Drosophila melanogaster: one gene and its partner. The gene in region 2 interacts genetically with the main gene of each other region. Each region holds a gene or a part of one and is shown on either strand. Other genes may lie near its edges.

Evidence for each region. Genes that interact genetically often act in the same process or in processes that back each other up.
Region 1: of Cul5 (region 2) and gus, changing one enhances a phenotype caused by changing the other (phenotypic enhancement), as found in Drosophila melanogaster (one study listed by BioGRID).

What each region holds. Positions count from the first base shown.
Region 1 is NT_033778.4:5,123,884-5,131,263, forward strand, and holds the start of gus (gustavus), read right to left. Parts: upstream 4,439-7,380; 5' UTR 4,343-4,438; intron 3,641-4,342; exon of another isoform or gene 3,520-3,640; intron 3,460-3,519; exon of another isoform or gene 3,366-3,459; intron 1-3,365. UniProt on the Drosophila melanogaster protein: Involved in the localization of vas to the posterior pole of the oocyte. Required maternally in the germ line for efficient primordial germ cell formation.
Region 2 is NT_033777.3:29,057,681-29,065,819, reverse strand, and holds Cul5 (cullin 5), read left to right. Parts: upstream 1-2,844; 5' UTR 2,845-2,929; coding exon 2,930-2,938; intron 2,939-3,014; coding exon 3,015-4,618; intron 4,619-4,680; coding exon 4,681-4,801; intron 4,802-4,861; coding exon 4,862-5,219; intron 5,220-5,279; coding exon 5,280-5,458; intron 5,459-5,516; coding exon 5,517-5,666; intron 5,667-5,729; coding exon 5,730-5,867; 3' UTR 5,868-6,548; downstream 6,549-8,139. Other genes in the region: Bicra (BRD4 interacting chromatin remodeling complex associated protein), read right to left, coding at 1,208-1,238; Sirt7 (sirtuin 7), read right to left, coding at 7,141-8,139.

The sequences.
Region 1 (7,380 bases), on a different chromosome or scaffold from region 2:
GCAAAAAAATAAAAAATTAACTTATTTAAAAAAATTTTAAATATACCGTGAAAACAAATGATAGGTCGATATTAGTTTAAAATATTTTAGTTTTTCTACGTATAGTATATATGACGAATTTATAATTATTATAAATTCATTTTTTTTAATACCCGTTGCTCGTAGAGTAAAAGGGTATGTTATACTCTTTGAAAAGTATGTAACAAGCTGAAGAAAGCGTTTTGACCACACAAAGTATATATATTTTTGATCAGGATCAATAGCCGAGTCGATCTGGCCATGTCCGTCTGTTCGTATGAACGTCGAGATCTCAGGAACTATAAAAGATAGAAGGTTGAAATTCAGCATACAGATTCTAGAAACAAAGGCGTAGCGCAAGTTTGTTTGGCACGCCCACTCTAATGTCATAAAACCGGTCACGCTCACACTTTTGAACAATTTTTAATTTTTTACGCATTTTATTTACTAATATCTATCGATATCCCAGAAAAATGATGAAATTTCGAGTTCGCATGCACACTAGCTGAGTAACGGGTATCTGATAGTCGGGGAACTCGACTACAGCACCCTCTCTTGAAAATATTATTGTATTATTGTACACATTTTTTATTTTATTTGAACATTTGCAGATTTCTTTTTATTAATTAATAGCTTTCGATTATTTGGCACCTCACCTTTTACCGGTAACACAGCTAAAAGTGTTCTTCAAAATTAACGGTTATATGTAGAACGTATCGAACTAAACAGCAGGAGGTGATCCCAAGAAATAAATAAAAAAAACTTTGAGTTTTGTAATTTATTTATTTTATATTATGTATAAAATTTTGCCCCAGTAATTTTTGTGTTAGGGGGGGGGGGGGTTAAATACTGCAAGAAATAGATAAAATATAATGTTATTAGGTAGAATTTATAAGTTTATTAAAACATACAATATTGGTAAAATGATTAGGTAAATCGTGTTTCGTTTGATTACTTCTGTTGAACCGATGAAAAAACAGGACAGAACGCTATAGTCGAGTTTCCCGACTATCCCTATTACTCAGCTAGTGCGAATGCAACGCGAAATTTCATCATTTTCTCGGATATCAAAAGATATTGGGGAATAAAATGAGAAACATTTTGTAAATTGTTTAAAAGTGTGGTCGGGACTGTTTTGGGCGTTTTGTAAGTGAAAGGGGGTGCGTGGCCGCAGTATATTGGTATACTGATAAAAAATGGCAAGACAAAGAAAAAATAACGAAGAAAAATCGAAATATTTTTCACGAAATATGTATTGATTTAATTAATATATTGTTACTTACTTGCAAAATACAAACCATAATTTGAAAACAGCCACAAAATTTATAATACACAAGAAAACTTTATCGATCTTTACGACTTAATATAGCATGCGAAACAAAAACGCCACGCGATTCTTTTCTGTCTCTTTTCGTGTTTTATATAAACTGTTTTTCCAATGCTTTCAAACTTAAGAATCGAATATAAGCAAATTTGAATATTTATTACTTATGGTAGTACATTATGAAGATATATTTTTTTACTAATGTGAAAACATACTAGCAATACTGTATATATATATATATATATATATATATAGTATTATATTAATCATATAATAATCAGAACAATCACAGATTATCAAGACAACCAGGAATCCGATATTTAGATGCGAGGCAAGAAGATATTTCAAAACTTAGTTAGCGTATCGATCGATTTCAAGTAAAAGGAAAATCGAAAAAAAAAAATTTCGACATAAAAGCTATTTAAAGCGTGCCAACCACTTTTATTCGTATCATTCCTAAAGCTTGTACAGCTAGTTGTCTTATTGAATTCCTTATTGTTTTGATTTCACAGACCGAGTTAAAGCAAAGACAATAGAATTACAAGATGCGTAACGGCCATTCATTGGTTTTGCACTATGCAGCCACTTTTTTGTTGACGGTCAAAATTGCTCTCTCTCCGCTTGAGTAAAATTGAGAGCGGTATAAAATCGAAAAAAATAATACACTTGCTTGTGTGTGCTAAAAGAATAAACGAGAAAGCAAAGACACTAGAATAACTAGCGTCTTTGGAGAATGTTTGTATGTGTGCGTACTTGTGCTAGAAGACGATTTTCGGGCAGAAATCAATTTTGATCTAAGATCCGATATAACATATTTAGAGTTTCGGGCAATTTCGTTGCAAAATGATCTACTCAAATAATATTTAAACATGTATGCCTTGACTATTAGATTTTTAAAGTGTTTCATATAAATGTTTCATATCTTAATTTGTGTTTATAATTAATAATATGTAAAACGGGACTGACGACATCTTTTGCGACATCAATTTTTAAAGTTGCAATGTGAAATATTTAAAAAAAAAATTACATTTCAAAAAATAAATTTCTAAATAATAATAAAAACATACATACATACATTAAACACATAAAGAAAACGTAGAGTTTCTTGACAGTCTCAAAATTCTTTTCTTTATATTTAATATTTATAATTTGTTTTTTGATTTATAAGTAAAACAAAAATATATTTCATAAAAAAATAGCGTTTGAACATTTTTACCTTTAAGGTCAAAAATTCAACTTATTTCACAGTGTGTAAACAGTTTCTTGACAAACTGTATATACAATATATAAAAATACGTTGACTGTTTATTGCAAAAATGATTTCTTGAGACACGAAGTGCGAACATAAGCACCCAACAATCATTGTCTCCTTTATTCTTACGCATACAGTGACAGCCGAAGAGGGCAGCTGGCTGTATATCTTTCCGCACTCTGGCTCTTAAACAAACATTCGAGAGAGCCTGGAGCCATCTCTAGAGCCAGCACCAAAAAATCGAGAGAAAAACAAAACAGAATGCTGTAGTCGAACGTAAAATTGCATACATTTTTTGGGATATCGATAGATAAAGATAAAATAAAAAGGATTTAAAAATGGTTTAAAAGTGTGGGCGTGACCGTTTTGTTGGTAAAAGGGGAGGCGTGGTTACGGTGTTTTTGGTATACCGATAAAAAATTGGCAAGACAAACAAAAATGAAAAAAAATCTAAACATTTTTTTAAAGTGTGGGCGTGACAGTTTGGGGAAGTTTTAGGGCGTTAGATTAGGCGTGGCAAAAAGTTTTTTGGCATATCGATACAAATTTACAAGACTAATTAAATTATTGAAAAATATCCAGAAATTTGTTCAAAAATGTGGGCGTGGCAGTTTTTGGCGGTTTAAGGGCGTTAGAAATTTTTTTTTTGTAAATCGATAGAAATTTACAAGACTAAAAAAAATGTGAAAAAATATCAACACATTTTTTAAAAGTGTGGGCTTGACAGTTTTGTGTGGTGTGTGGGCGTTAGAGTTTGCGTGGCAACATGGGTCACAAACTTGCGCTGCGTCTATGTTTTTAGAATCTGTATGCTGAATCTCAACATTTTGGCTGATCTTGATGCTGATATGGACAGACGGACATGGTCAGATTGTCTCGATCAAGAATATATGTATTTACATATGTTTGTATATACTTTATATAGTCGGAAACGCTTCCTTCCTCCTGCTACATAGTTTTCAACGGATCTAGGAACCCTGTTACTCTACGGGTATAACGAGTATAACAAATAGCGTATAGTCTGAATGACTAAAGGATGTAGTGAAGTAAGTTAAAGTAAACTTTACATTGTGTGAATTAACAATATGCTAGTGTAAAAGCGGCTTGCGCCGCCTTCATTGAGTTAAGCCTGCATATTACCTTTTAAAAGAAAAGTAGTGATGCAGTCTTGGTTTAAATGTAATTTTTATACTAACCAAAATTTCGTATTGATTCAACTTTACTGTTAAAGTTAATAGAAAATAAATGAAAAGTTGCTACAGCACCGACGAACTATTCATAAAAAAAAAATTCGAAAATCATATAACTGAAGCAAGCCCATGGCCAGATCGACTTGTCTAGTAATCCTGATCAATAATATAGTTATTTATATACATATGCTTAAATACTTTATGCATTAGGGAAACGCTTCCTTCCCTATAATATATTCTCCAACAAATCTTTAAGATTGTATGCAATTACGTATGTATGTATTTTTGGTGATATCAGATTCACTCCTAATTAATATTCTTATAGTGTTTTTGTACGCTCATACAAATTCAATCCAAGGAGATTGAATACATGAAGTTCAATATGTACAGATAAGTTTTCACATATAATTATTTTTATCACATATCTCAAATTTTTATCTGATTAACGTTTATAAATATGAACATACATATGTTCTTACATTCCATATTTATAATTAATTGATCAATTCCCACGTTAGATATGTGTGAATTTCATTTATCAGTTCCTGTGAAACTTACATTACTTTTATCTTGTCGATTTGCTATGATTAAAATAAAACAACACATAAAGCAAAATATCACTCAGGAACCTTTGATGCACAAAACATTCATTTGTTTGTATATCCACTTATACCGTACATCAACAGTGTTGTGACATGTAACGATTTTTGTCATGTGCGGAATGAGTGGGATTTTGGAAAAGACTAATAATTTCTTCGAAATTATATAATTTAATTTAACTTCAAAGACCGAAGTTTGGTAAAGACTTTCTAAGTCAAGCCGTTTCAAGATTTAGCACAACATAATGTAAATTAAACAAATTTTAAAATCTTTTTAAATGAAGTTATTCATTTTATCACCATATTACAATTTTTTAAATTAAAGGTATCTGATTGACCCCATGCGTAAAAGTAACTTGATAAGTTTACAATTGCAAATTTTTGGTTTACCCAAACCAAAAAACTGTAATAATTCATAAAAACAATTATCTGTCTCGCTTGTTTTTACGGTATGACAGGCACATTTTACCTACTGTCGCATTACGCCTAAACTGCCAAACAATTTTTCATTTTATTAATATTTATGCCAAAAGCTGGCATTAGCTGAATAACGGGTAAATAAAAAAATATAAATATAAAATAACTAAAACAGTTTATTTTACTCGGCGTTATTAATTGAAAACCGGGTTCTCCTTACCGAATACGGCTCGTTCAAAGAATAATAAAGAATAATTAGATGCTTAACTGCCATATATTGTTTTTGCAGGTTGCACTTTTTTTGATGACATCCGATTGTTTATTGCGACTCCGCGCGGCAATGTGCTTCCTTCTACATTCTTGGCTTTGACTTTACGCGACTGAACTGCCTCTCAGTTCGTTCAACGTATGATACGATAATATACTGTTATTCTACCGCTCGTTTTACATACGCTTACAAATGGTAATATTGTACCTAATTTCAACAACTGTCCTTAATGTTACCATTTTTCAATTAATTTCTCAAAAATTTACACAACATTTCTCATGTATAAGTTTTGACAAAATCTTTTTTACATGTCGGCTATTATTAAACATATCGTTCAAAATCGCTACACAAAACTCGTCTTTTCATTGCTCAAAAACAGCTAATAAACAATAATTTGCAACAAGCTCGCAAAGCTGTTTAAAGCTTTAACACTTCAATTAAGTAGCACTCCGGCATAGGACGTCGCTGCCCCCTCTTGGGCGAGCTATCTGGCTGGACTTCTATTCTATGTTTACTACGATAATAGATAGCCATCCTGAACTAACAAACATAGAAAAGTTGCAGCATCTAAGAACATGTCTGAGGGACACTGCACTTGAAATATCGGATGGCAACTATGCTATAGCATTGAATTTGTCTGTTTGTTTAATATTCCAGGCACACATTACTGAGATTCTAGGGCAAGGGCAGTTCAGAATGGTTCCGTTTCAATGCTTTGTAAACTGTGTGATAAATTCAACGCTCATATTCGCGCGCTAAATGGAATGGGCTCAACGACACAAATCGTTGGATGAATTATCGCCCAAGTACTTATCCAAAAGCTGGATCCGGAAAGTCTGGCGAAATGGGAGCAGCATTTGGAGAACCAGTCTTAAAGAATTCAATTCCAACATGGCATCGTTTCTGGAGCAGTGTTGCAGGACGCAGCCGTAACAAGCTATGCGTCAGTCAACCAGGTGCAAAGTAGCAGAACATCTGATTTGTGTAGGTCTGTCCTTCTTGCCTCAAGCCTCAGCCCTGCGACCTGTGAGTTCTGCAATGTTTCTGGTCACTAAATTCATTAATGTAGAGCTTGAAAAACCTGACCACCGCTAATAGATTCATAGAAGCGAAAATCTTCGCATTTTAATAAATTGCTTTAGGACCGGAAATAAAATGAGGTAGGCAACTCCGATAAAAAGTTTAAGAAAAATGTTTTGTTTTCTTTTTTATCTCAAAATTCTATTTAATTAAATACGGGTACAATGCTTTTTTCTAGGATATCTTTTCCATTAATAAAATAATAATCTTCTTTAATAACATACTTTTACTGCTATATGACATAGTGTTCAAATTTCAATCCAATGAATTTAATATAAAATATATAAATAACAAGAGATAAGAGTAAAAATAGTTCCAAAGTGTAGGCGTGACCGGTACGGTAGTTTTGTCTCTAGAATCTTTACGCTGAATCTCAACATTCTAGCTGCGATCTTGATGTTCATATGGACATTTTTAAACAGTTTATTATTGCACAGCGCTGTACCGTTGGGCAAAAAAATTACCTTCGCTTTTTATTCTGGTTACTCGTAGAATTAAAGGGCATACTAGGATATATAACAGGCAGAAGGAAGCGTTTCCGATCACATAAAGTAAATATATTATTGATCAGGATAAATAGCCGAGTCGTTCTAGCCATGTCCGTATTAACGTATCAACAACTATAATAGCTAGAAGGTTGAGATTCAGCATTCAGAATAGAAGACAAAGAATAGAGACAAAGACGCAGCGCAAGTTTGTTGACCCATGTTGTCACTCCCACAAACCGCACAAAACTGCCACGCCCACACTTTTGAAAAACGTGTCGATATTTTTTATCACATTTTTATTTGTCTTGTACATTTCTGTCGACTTTCAAAAAATGTTTTGCCACGTCCACTCTATCGCCCTAAAATCTCCCAAAACTGCCACGCCCACAATTTTGAAAAACGTTTCCACATTTGTTCATAATTCTATTATTTTTGTGAATTTTTATCGATTTGCAAAAAAAATATTTGCCTCGGCCACCCTAACGCCCTAAAATCGCCCAAAACTGCCACGCCCACATTTTTGAAAAACGTTTCCATATTTTTTCATAATTTTATTATCTATGTGAATTTTTATCGAATTGCAAAAAAACTTTTGCCTCGGCCACTCTAACGCCCTAAAATCGCCTAAAACTGCCACGCCCACATTTTTAAAAAACGTTTCCATATTTTTTTATAATTTTATTATCTATGTGAATTTTTATCGATTTGTAAAAAAAAATATTTGCCTCGACCACTCTAACGCCC
Region 2 (8,139 bases):
CCTGTTTTTGTTGCCTTGCATCGAAAATTGTTTGTGCCGTTTGACTCTGGCGCTTGAGCAGAGTTTACATTGAATGTTATAAATAAATTAAAGGAACACAGCGTGGGAGTATGTGTTAGCATTTGTATGTGAGTTGTAGTGTGTGTATGTTAGTGTGTGGAGGGGCCGGACAGTCTGAGTTCCCAAAGCGATGCACGGCTTGCATTCAACATTCATTGCTAATTGCAGCTGATAAGTGGACAGCATTCCTCAACGCCAAGCAGCTACGTCTAAGCCCATTACTATTGTTGTTGTGTGCCAGCATTGCAGTGCAAATTGCGGCCCTAGGATTGGGGGAAATAGATTTCTTTCCAACACTAAATCTAAATGATAGCATAAATATTCGTAAAGCTGGCTTAATAGATTGACGGCTAATTAGCTTAATAGCTGGATTACAATAGTCTCATCCATGTACCACCTATCCTTTCTCATTTGCTGCTTAATGCATTTTCCAAAGCTTACTTTTTACTTATTAAAAAGTAATAATAAATTTGGCTCAATCTTTATGAACTTCCGATAAGTTCCTCAAACAAAACAGACCAAACTTCAAGCGTCTGGCTTTTACCATGGTATTATTCGCCCATAATACTAATTGCCCTGGCGAAAACAAAACACAAACAAACCAAAGTTGGTGATTTTTGATCTGCTGCTTTCTTCCCGGACAACACTCACACATGGACAAACAGTGCATAAAGGCTATAGTTATATGAGGCACATTTACATCTGCTTAAGACAGTGACAGATACTTTCTCTTTTCCCCGCTCGAGAGTGATGAAAGTCGGGTTAAAAATAGAATGGCGAGCGAGTGGAGAGCGGATGGCCGCCCCTTGCATTCATTTATAGTTTTCAGTGATTTGGCTTTTTGATGAAGACTCATAATTACGCTGGTTTTTGTCACTGTACAATGGCCGAATTGTTGGAGTGTCGGAGGTGTTTACAAAGTTCAAGTGTTTGGGAGCAGCTGCGCAGCCAGCGTTTATTTTTAGCACGAAAGAGCAGCGAGAGCGAAGCAGCGAGAAGAGCGGCGAAGAGAACGTGCGCAAGTGCATTTTTAAAATCAGAATCGGATGCTGCACGCTCTTGCTCTTGCTCTCAGTAAGCGTGATTACGAATTTGGATTTTCTATTCGTAGTTTTTTTGTGTGTGTTTTTGATTGGCATTTTCTCACCTGGTCGATCCAATGACTGTCTGCGACTCATTGGCAAAAGATTTGTGCTGCTCTTCTGTTGTGTGGTGTTTTTTTCAGGGGGGTTTTATAGACAATAACGTCGGCGAATGCAAATTATGCCAATTTTGATTGATTCATTGGGTAATTTGTTGCTGCTGGTTGTTGGTTCCTTTTGGCTATTGCTTTTGCTTATTTCCTTTTGCCGCGCTGCTTCTTACTCAATTCTATACACTCAACACACACACACGCGGACATCTTTCGAATTTCATTTCACACGCGACTGTTGACTTTCTTTTTGCCCCTCTCTCACTCTAACGCGCTCTTTCTTTTTCTCACTCTCTGAGAACTCGACAGATGTTGTTGTTGTGGGGCCTTTTTTTGATTTGAGGTGTTGCTGCTTCTGCTTCTATTGCAATTTGTGACGTGCTGTTGTGATTTGTTTGTTGCTGGCTTGTGGTTTGAAAAACGCTTTTTCGACAACACACATATGGGGAGCACGCACACACTCACTCGCCAGCAGCCAGCACACACACACAAACACACACGCACGCACACATTCACTCTCGCGCGTCACGTCAATGAACGCAGCAGCACGTAGTTGTTGTTTTCGTCACTGATTCTCGCCTTGTACGCACATTTTGCTGGCTAATCGAAGCACTTGATCGGCAACTGCTCATCAGAGCCTTGTTTATTTACATTGCAGCACGGGGCTAGTGCACTTTCCCCGATTTTATGCGTTTTTCTCTCGATTCGCACGGCCGTACAACGAGCGCCGCCGCCGCAAACAAAGGGAAATGGTGAATGCTAGAGCTGGAAGAGAAGCCGATGGTTAGTCGATACTATCGATGTATACAGATAACTGGCAGCATCGATGTTTGCCCCGCAACCATCGATTGTATTCACTCTAAAAAATATGGTTTTCTACAAGAATTCAATGTTTATAAATAAAACAGTCACTTTAATAAAAGCTTAGAAAACTCTTTGTGATTTATAAAGATTTAAGCGCGTTGTTTACGATAAGTTATAAAAACTAGGGTTGACACCTGTCTGTGAAAGACTTTTTGAATGTAAATAAACATCAAGACGGCAATAACGTAACGAAATTAAATTGATAAATAACTTTATTTTACTAGTTTAACAAATAAGAATATAAAGAAAACCATACAAGTTTCCGCACTAAAAACAAAATATATTATTTTTAGAACACGAAATAGTAAGCGATATTTTGAAATGCGGAACTGAGTATTTCAGGCACATCTGACAGCCCTGAAACAATGCAGACCAGACATTAGGTCGGGGACGTGTGCTAGACCGAGATGTCTGCTAGTACTGCTTTTGTCTCACTCGCGCACGAAGAGGTAGAGAAGAAAAAAACCAAAACGAAGTGGGCAAACTAGCGAACTTCACAAAACCCTCGACAAGACAACTTTGTATTATTGCCCTATTTCTCCTTGGTTATTATTACCGCGGCTGGGCGAGGTATCCCTTAATGTTCGATTAATAACATTTCCGCAGATTTCCCGCACTTTTGCTGCACTCCGAACTGTTGTTTTATCGACTGCCCGAAATCGATTGGTCGATGGGCGATAAGCCCTACGGGCGAAATTTTACCAACACTGGTCGATAGCCAACTATCGTATCGTATCGCCTAATTACAAAAAATAAATATAAATGAAGTGAAGCGGACGCAGCAACAAAAACAAAGAGATTGCTACGATCAAAATGCTACGGGTAAGTGACCTGATCGGCGATGAAAACGCATATAGAGTTCAGTGTGCACATATACCTTTATCTCCCTGTACGACAGGCAATCGGGAAACGGGACAGGGACATCTTCGAGGAAGTTTGGCCGGACAAAAGGCGAATAGTTTTAAAGCTACTGCGCCAGGACACGGTGTCGCAGCGCGAATGGCAGGACCTATTCTTCGGCGTACACTTCGTGTGCCTGTGGGACGAGAAGGGCGCGGCCAAGATCTACGACTGCCTGCAGCAGGACATCGTTGAGTTTATCGTCCAGGCCCAAAGCCAGGTGCAAGCGCAACGGGGCGAGCAGGCCCTTCTGGCCACCTATATTGTGGAGTGGCGGAAGTTCTTTACACAGTCCAACTACCTGCCGCTGCCTTTCCGCCAGCTGGAGCAGTCGCCCCAGGTGAAGCCCTCCTCCAGTGGCAGCAGCTCCTCCGCATCCGTCTCCGCCTCGGGAGCGAGTACGAGTGCCGCCGCGGCGGCAGCAGCTACTTCCTGCAGCGGCCAGGCTGGAAAGTCAGGAGCCTCCACCTCAGCCGCAGCTGGAGCCTCCACTTCAGCCGCCGCTGCTGCAGCCTCCACATCCGCCTCCACAAGCTCAGCAGCGGCAGCTGCAGCTGCTTCCGGAAGTGGGAGCTCCAGCAGCAGCACCTCTACCTCCAAGAAAAACCCCACGGAGGACAGTCCTGTACGAAAACTAATGCTGGACTCCTGGAACAAGCACATATTCCACGACATCAAGCATCGTCTGCAGGAGTCGGCCATGAAGATTGTGCACGCCGAGCGGAACGGCGATGCCTATGATGCCCAGCTAGTGGTAGGCGTGCGCGAGAGCTATGTGAATCTCTCCTCGAATGCAGAGGACAAACTAGAGATCTACAGGGAGAACTTTGAGATGGCGTACCTTAAGGCCACTGTCGAGTTCTATCGCCTGAAATCCGCCGAACAACAGCAAGAGAACGGAGTGCTGGCCTATATGAAATACGCCGACTCAAAGTTGCGTGAGGAGGAGGTTAGGGCCAAGCGGTATCTGGAGCCCAGCAGCTTCAGTATACTTACTTACACGCTGGTTAATGTGCTCATAGTGGACCACCTCAACTCAATCATCGCCGAGTGTCCGGCTTTGATCAGGGACTATGAAACGGAGCGATTGAATCTCATGTTCCGCCTGATGGATAGAGTGATGCACGGCGTTGGCGTGGAGCCCATGATGGGTGACCTGCAGCGTCACATCATGTCCGCCGGACTGGCCGACATGCTGTCCGCTTCGGAGGTGATTACCCAGGATTCGGAAAAGTACGTTGAGCGGCTACTTGAGCTGTTCAACAAGTTCAGCGACCTGGTACGCAACGCCTTCAACGACGATCCCCGCTTCCTCACTGCCCGCGACATTGCTTTTAAGACGGTAGTCAACGACACCAGCGTGTTCAAGATGGAGCTACCCACGAGTATCGCCAATCGGGGTGTAAAGTACACAGCGCCGGAGAGCAAATGCCCGGAACTACTGGCCAACTATTGCGACATGCTGCTGCGGCGAACGCCGCTCAGCAAACGCCTCACCAGCGAACAGATCGACGCCCGTCTGCGCGATGTCCTCTTGGTCCTGAAGTACGTCAACAACAAGGACGTCTTTATGCGCTATCACAAAGTTCATTTGACGAGGCGGTAAGTTGACTGCATAATGTTTCAAATGAAGCGATTACATACTCTTGTTCCTCCAATTACAGCTTGATTCTGGGGACCAGTGCGGACAGCGAAAAGGAGGAGGACATAGTCGAGTGGCTGAGGGAGGTGGGCATGCCGGCGGACTACGTGAATCGGCTGGCGCGCATGTTCCAAGACATAAAGGTAGGTTTTACCAGACTGATGTTAGGAGCAGGTTTATTCATTATCCCCTTTCGTATATAGGTCAGCGAAGACTTAAATACTCAATTCCGCACCTCGATAAGTCGGCACGATGCTATCAACATAAAAATACTCAACGCGGGTGCCTGGGCCCGCTGTTCGGAGCGAGTCTCGGTCTCACTGCCCATCGAGCTCGAGGACTATATTCCTGATGTGGAGGAGTTTTACAAGAAGAAGCATTCCGGCCGTAAGCTGCAGTGGTACCATCACATGAGCAATGGCACTATCACCTTTGTGAATAACTTCGGGCGCTACGATCTGGATGTGACCACTTTCCAGATGGCCGTCTTGTTTGCCTGGAATCAGCGTCAGCATGACAAAATTTCCTACGAGAATCTCCGCCTGGCCACAGAACTACCAGGTTAGGATTGCTTGCAAATTTACTTTTCGCTTTGATGATAATTATTTGTGTATTTTTAAGATCCCGAACTGAGGCGAACGTTGTGGTCGCTGGTAGCGTTCCCTAAGATAAAGAAACAGATCCTGCTCATGGAACCGGCGGCGATCAGTTCGCCCAAGGACTTTGCCGAGAACACAATGTTCTATATTAATCAGGAATTTGCTATTGTCAAGAATGGCAAATCCCAGCGTCGTGGAAAGGTGATTACGCATATTAGCTATCTAATAGATAATCCATAACCAGAGTTCTCACCCGCAGCTGAATCTCATCGGGCGACTGCAATTGAGCACGGAGCGCTCGCAGCAGGAGGACAATCAATCCATTGTGCAACTGCGTATTCTGCGCACACAAGAGGCCATTATCAAAATCATGAAAGTGCGCAAGCGGATGAACAACGCAGCGCTGCAGGTTCGTTGTTCGATAGCTAGTTGTGCGTTTCAAGGGATCTAAAAAAAAAACATTCTTCTACAGGGTGAACTCATCGACATATTGAAGAACATGTTCCTGCCGTCCAAGAAGATGATCAAGGAGCAGCTGGAGTGGCTGATTGAGAACAAGTATATGAGACGGGACGACGATGATATCAACATGTTCATTTACGTGGCCTAAGCAGCTGCTCCTGATCCCGGCTCTAGTCTCAGTCCCGTCTATGCAGTCATTCCCATTTCCATTCCCTCACACGCTACTCAAAAACTATTGCGATTTTAATCTCAACGCCGACGTGCTCAAAGCACGCGCCCTTTTTCTGTCTACGGAATTGGATAATTGTATTATATGGAAACGTGATTCGCTACTGACATTGCGCCCTCAGAGCATTTAAAAGACCCACACTCCAATCGGCAGCCATTTTCTCGTGTCCACGTCCTGTATTTGTGAAACTTTGTATTTTTATATTGGCCCACTGGCTGCTCTGCGTAGCTCTAGATATTATGTTTTGTGCGCTACATGCACCCTGGAAATTCCGAACCCACGCCCACGCCCTGCCCCCGAGTATATCGATCGATAGCGTTAATCTAATCAACCTGCTGTTTTCTATGTGTGTAGTTATCCCTTGTTTGTTTCCGTTGCCTGGTCTTCTGTTGATTCTTGGGTATTTTGCAATGTTCCACGTGAGACTCACACACCTCCTGAAGATTGATGGGGAAGCCAATTCTTCGTCTCCGCTCGCTCCCAGCATGGAATGCCTAATCACACACAAACACTCACACGGGATCGCAAAACTATAACTAAAATAGCAATACTTTATGTTTAAGTTAATGAATAAATTTGGTTCTACACATAATGAAAGCGAATCTATTGCAGTTTTATTTTTAACTGGTTACTGCAACTGAAGGGCGAATAAAAATCGAATGCATTTCATTATACCATAATGCTTATTTTCTTTATTTAACTTACGTGTGTAGAGGGGCGGATGTTAGGTTAGCGTTCTAAAAGTAAAAACCTATATTAATAATTAAAAACAAGGTCAAATGATTTCTGCAGCAAGTGCACCAAAATACCAGGACAAGAGTTACACAATTGTGACATACAATCAAACCCATTAAAATTAAACTAAATATCGAAAATAGACAAAAACGGGCTGACCTATTAATATAATCAAAGACTGACAAATAGAGCATTTTAAAAAACACGTCTAAATAAAAGGAACCCTATTCTATTCTAGCTGCCACTATCATCTATGACTTATAAACCTATAGCTAAAATACTATTGAAGCGAGCATATGTCTCGGTGAGGGCAGGTCGATCTTTTCCGTAGAAAAGAAACAGCTAGCTCCTTCATATCAAGTATAAGATCAAACGTTTCCAAAAAGCCATTGACTCAAGGGTAATCATTTCACCTTCTTATCTTAGGGAGGAATCACGGCCGTACATAAATGGGAATCTACCGTCTCTTCCGACCTTTCTTATAGCCCTTGCCATACCATCCTGCCTGGGTTCGCGCCAACTTCCGTGGAAAACTCGTGCTCAGCTGCTGTCTTCGCTTTGCCGTTTCCGCCGCTGCTATGTGTGCCAAGGATATATTCTCATCGTAGTCATCGTCGTCGTCGGAAGTTGGACAGCACTCGCAGACCACGAACCGACCGCTTCTGGCCCGTTTCTTGTGTTTGCGCTGACTGAGGTTCCAACGCCGGTAAAACTGGCACTCCAGCTCCGCATACCGATCAAAGCAGAAGAAACAACTGGCAGCGGATCTGTTCATCGCAAAGTTCGGCACCACCTGCGAGTTCCAAATATTGAGATCCGCTGGTGGTGGGATCAGGATGCTATGCAGACCAGAATACGCGTACTTGGCATCGTACCACGTGGGTAATTGGCGAAGCAGCTCCTCATCGTTGTTTTGCCTCAACAAATCCATCTGGGCCAGCTCGCTTTCCTCCTCCTCTTCGTTATCGTTCTCTGTGCTGGAATCACCATCGCCCTCGCTCTTTATCTGTATGCTGGACGACTGAGAGGCAGGTGGCAGGACCAATTTGGGCTCAACAAAGGGTGTGGACAGTGGTGCTCCAATGGGCACCAGCGGTGGCAGCTGAAGCGGCTTTAGTCTTGATTCAGTTGGGACCGCGGACAAACATTCCGCATGAGTTTTTTGTATGGCGACTAGTTTTGGCAGCTCTGGAAAACCATTGCTCGGCGTTTCCTCCGTCTCTTCTTTGAGCGAAAGTGGTTCTAGCTTTGGTAGCAGCTCCAAAAGTTTCAACTCCTGCTGAAAATTGGTGTCCGAGCACTCTAATTTCTCCAGCTTAACTTCAGTCTCTATTTTAATGGACGACTCCAGCGTGATTAAGTCCTTCTCTGTTTTAACCTCCCCATTTGTTTTCACATGCTCCACCTTAATTTCCTCGTCCTGGCCATTGAGCGTCTTGAATTTCTGTCGGAGCTC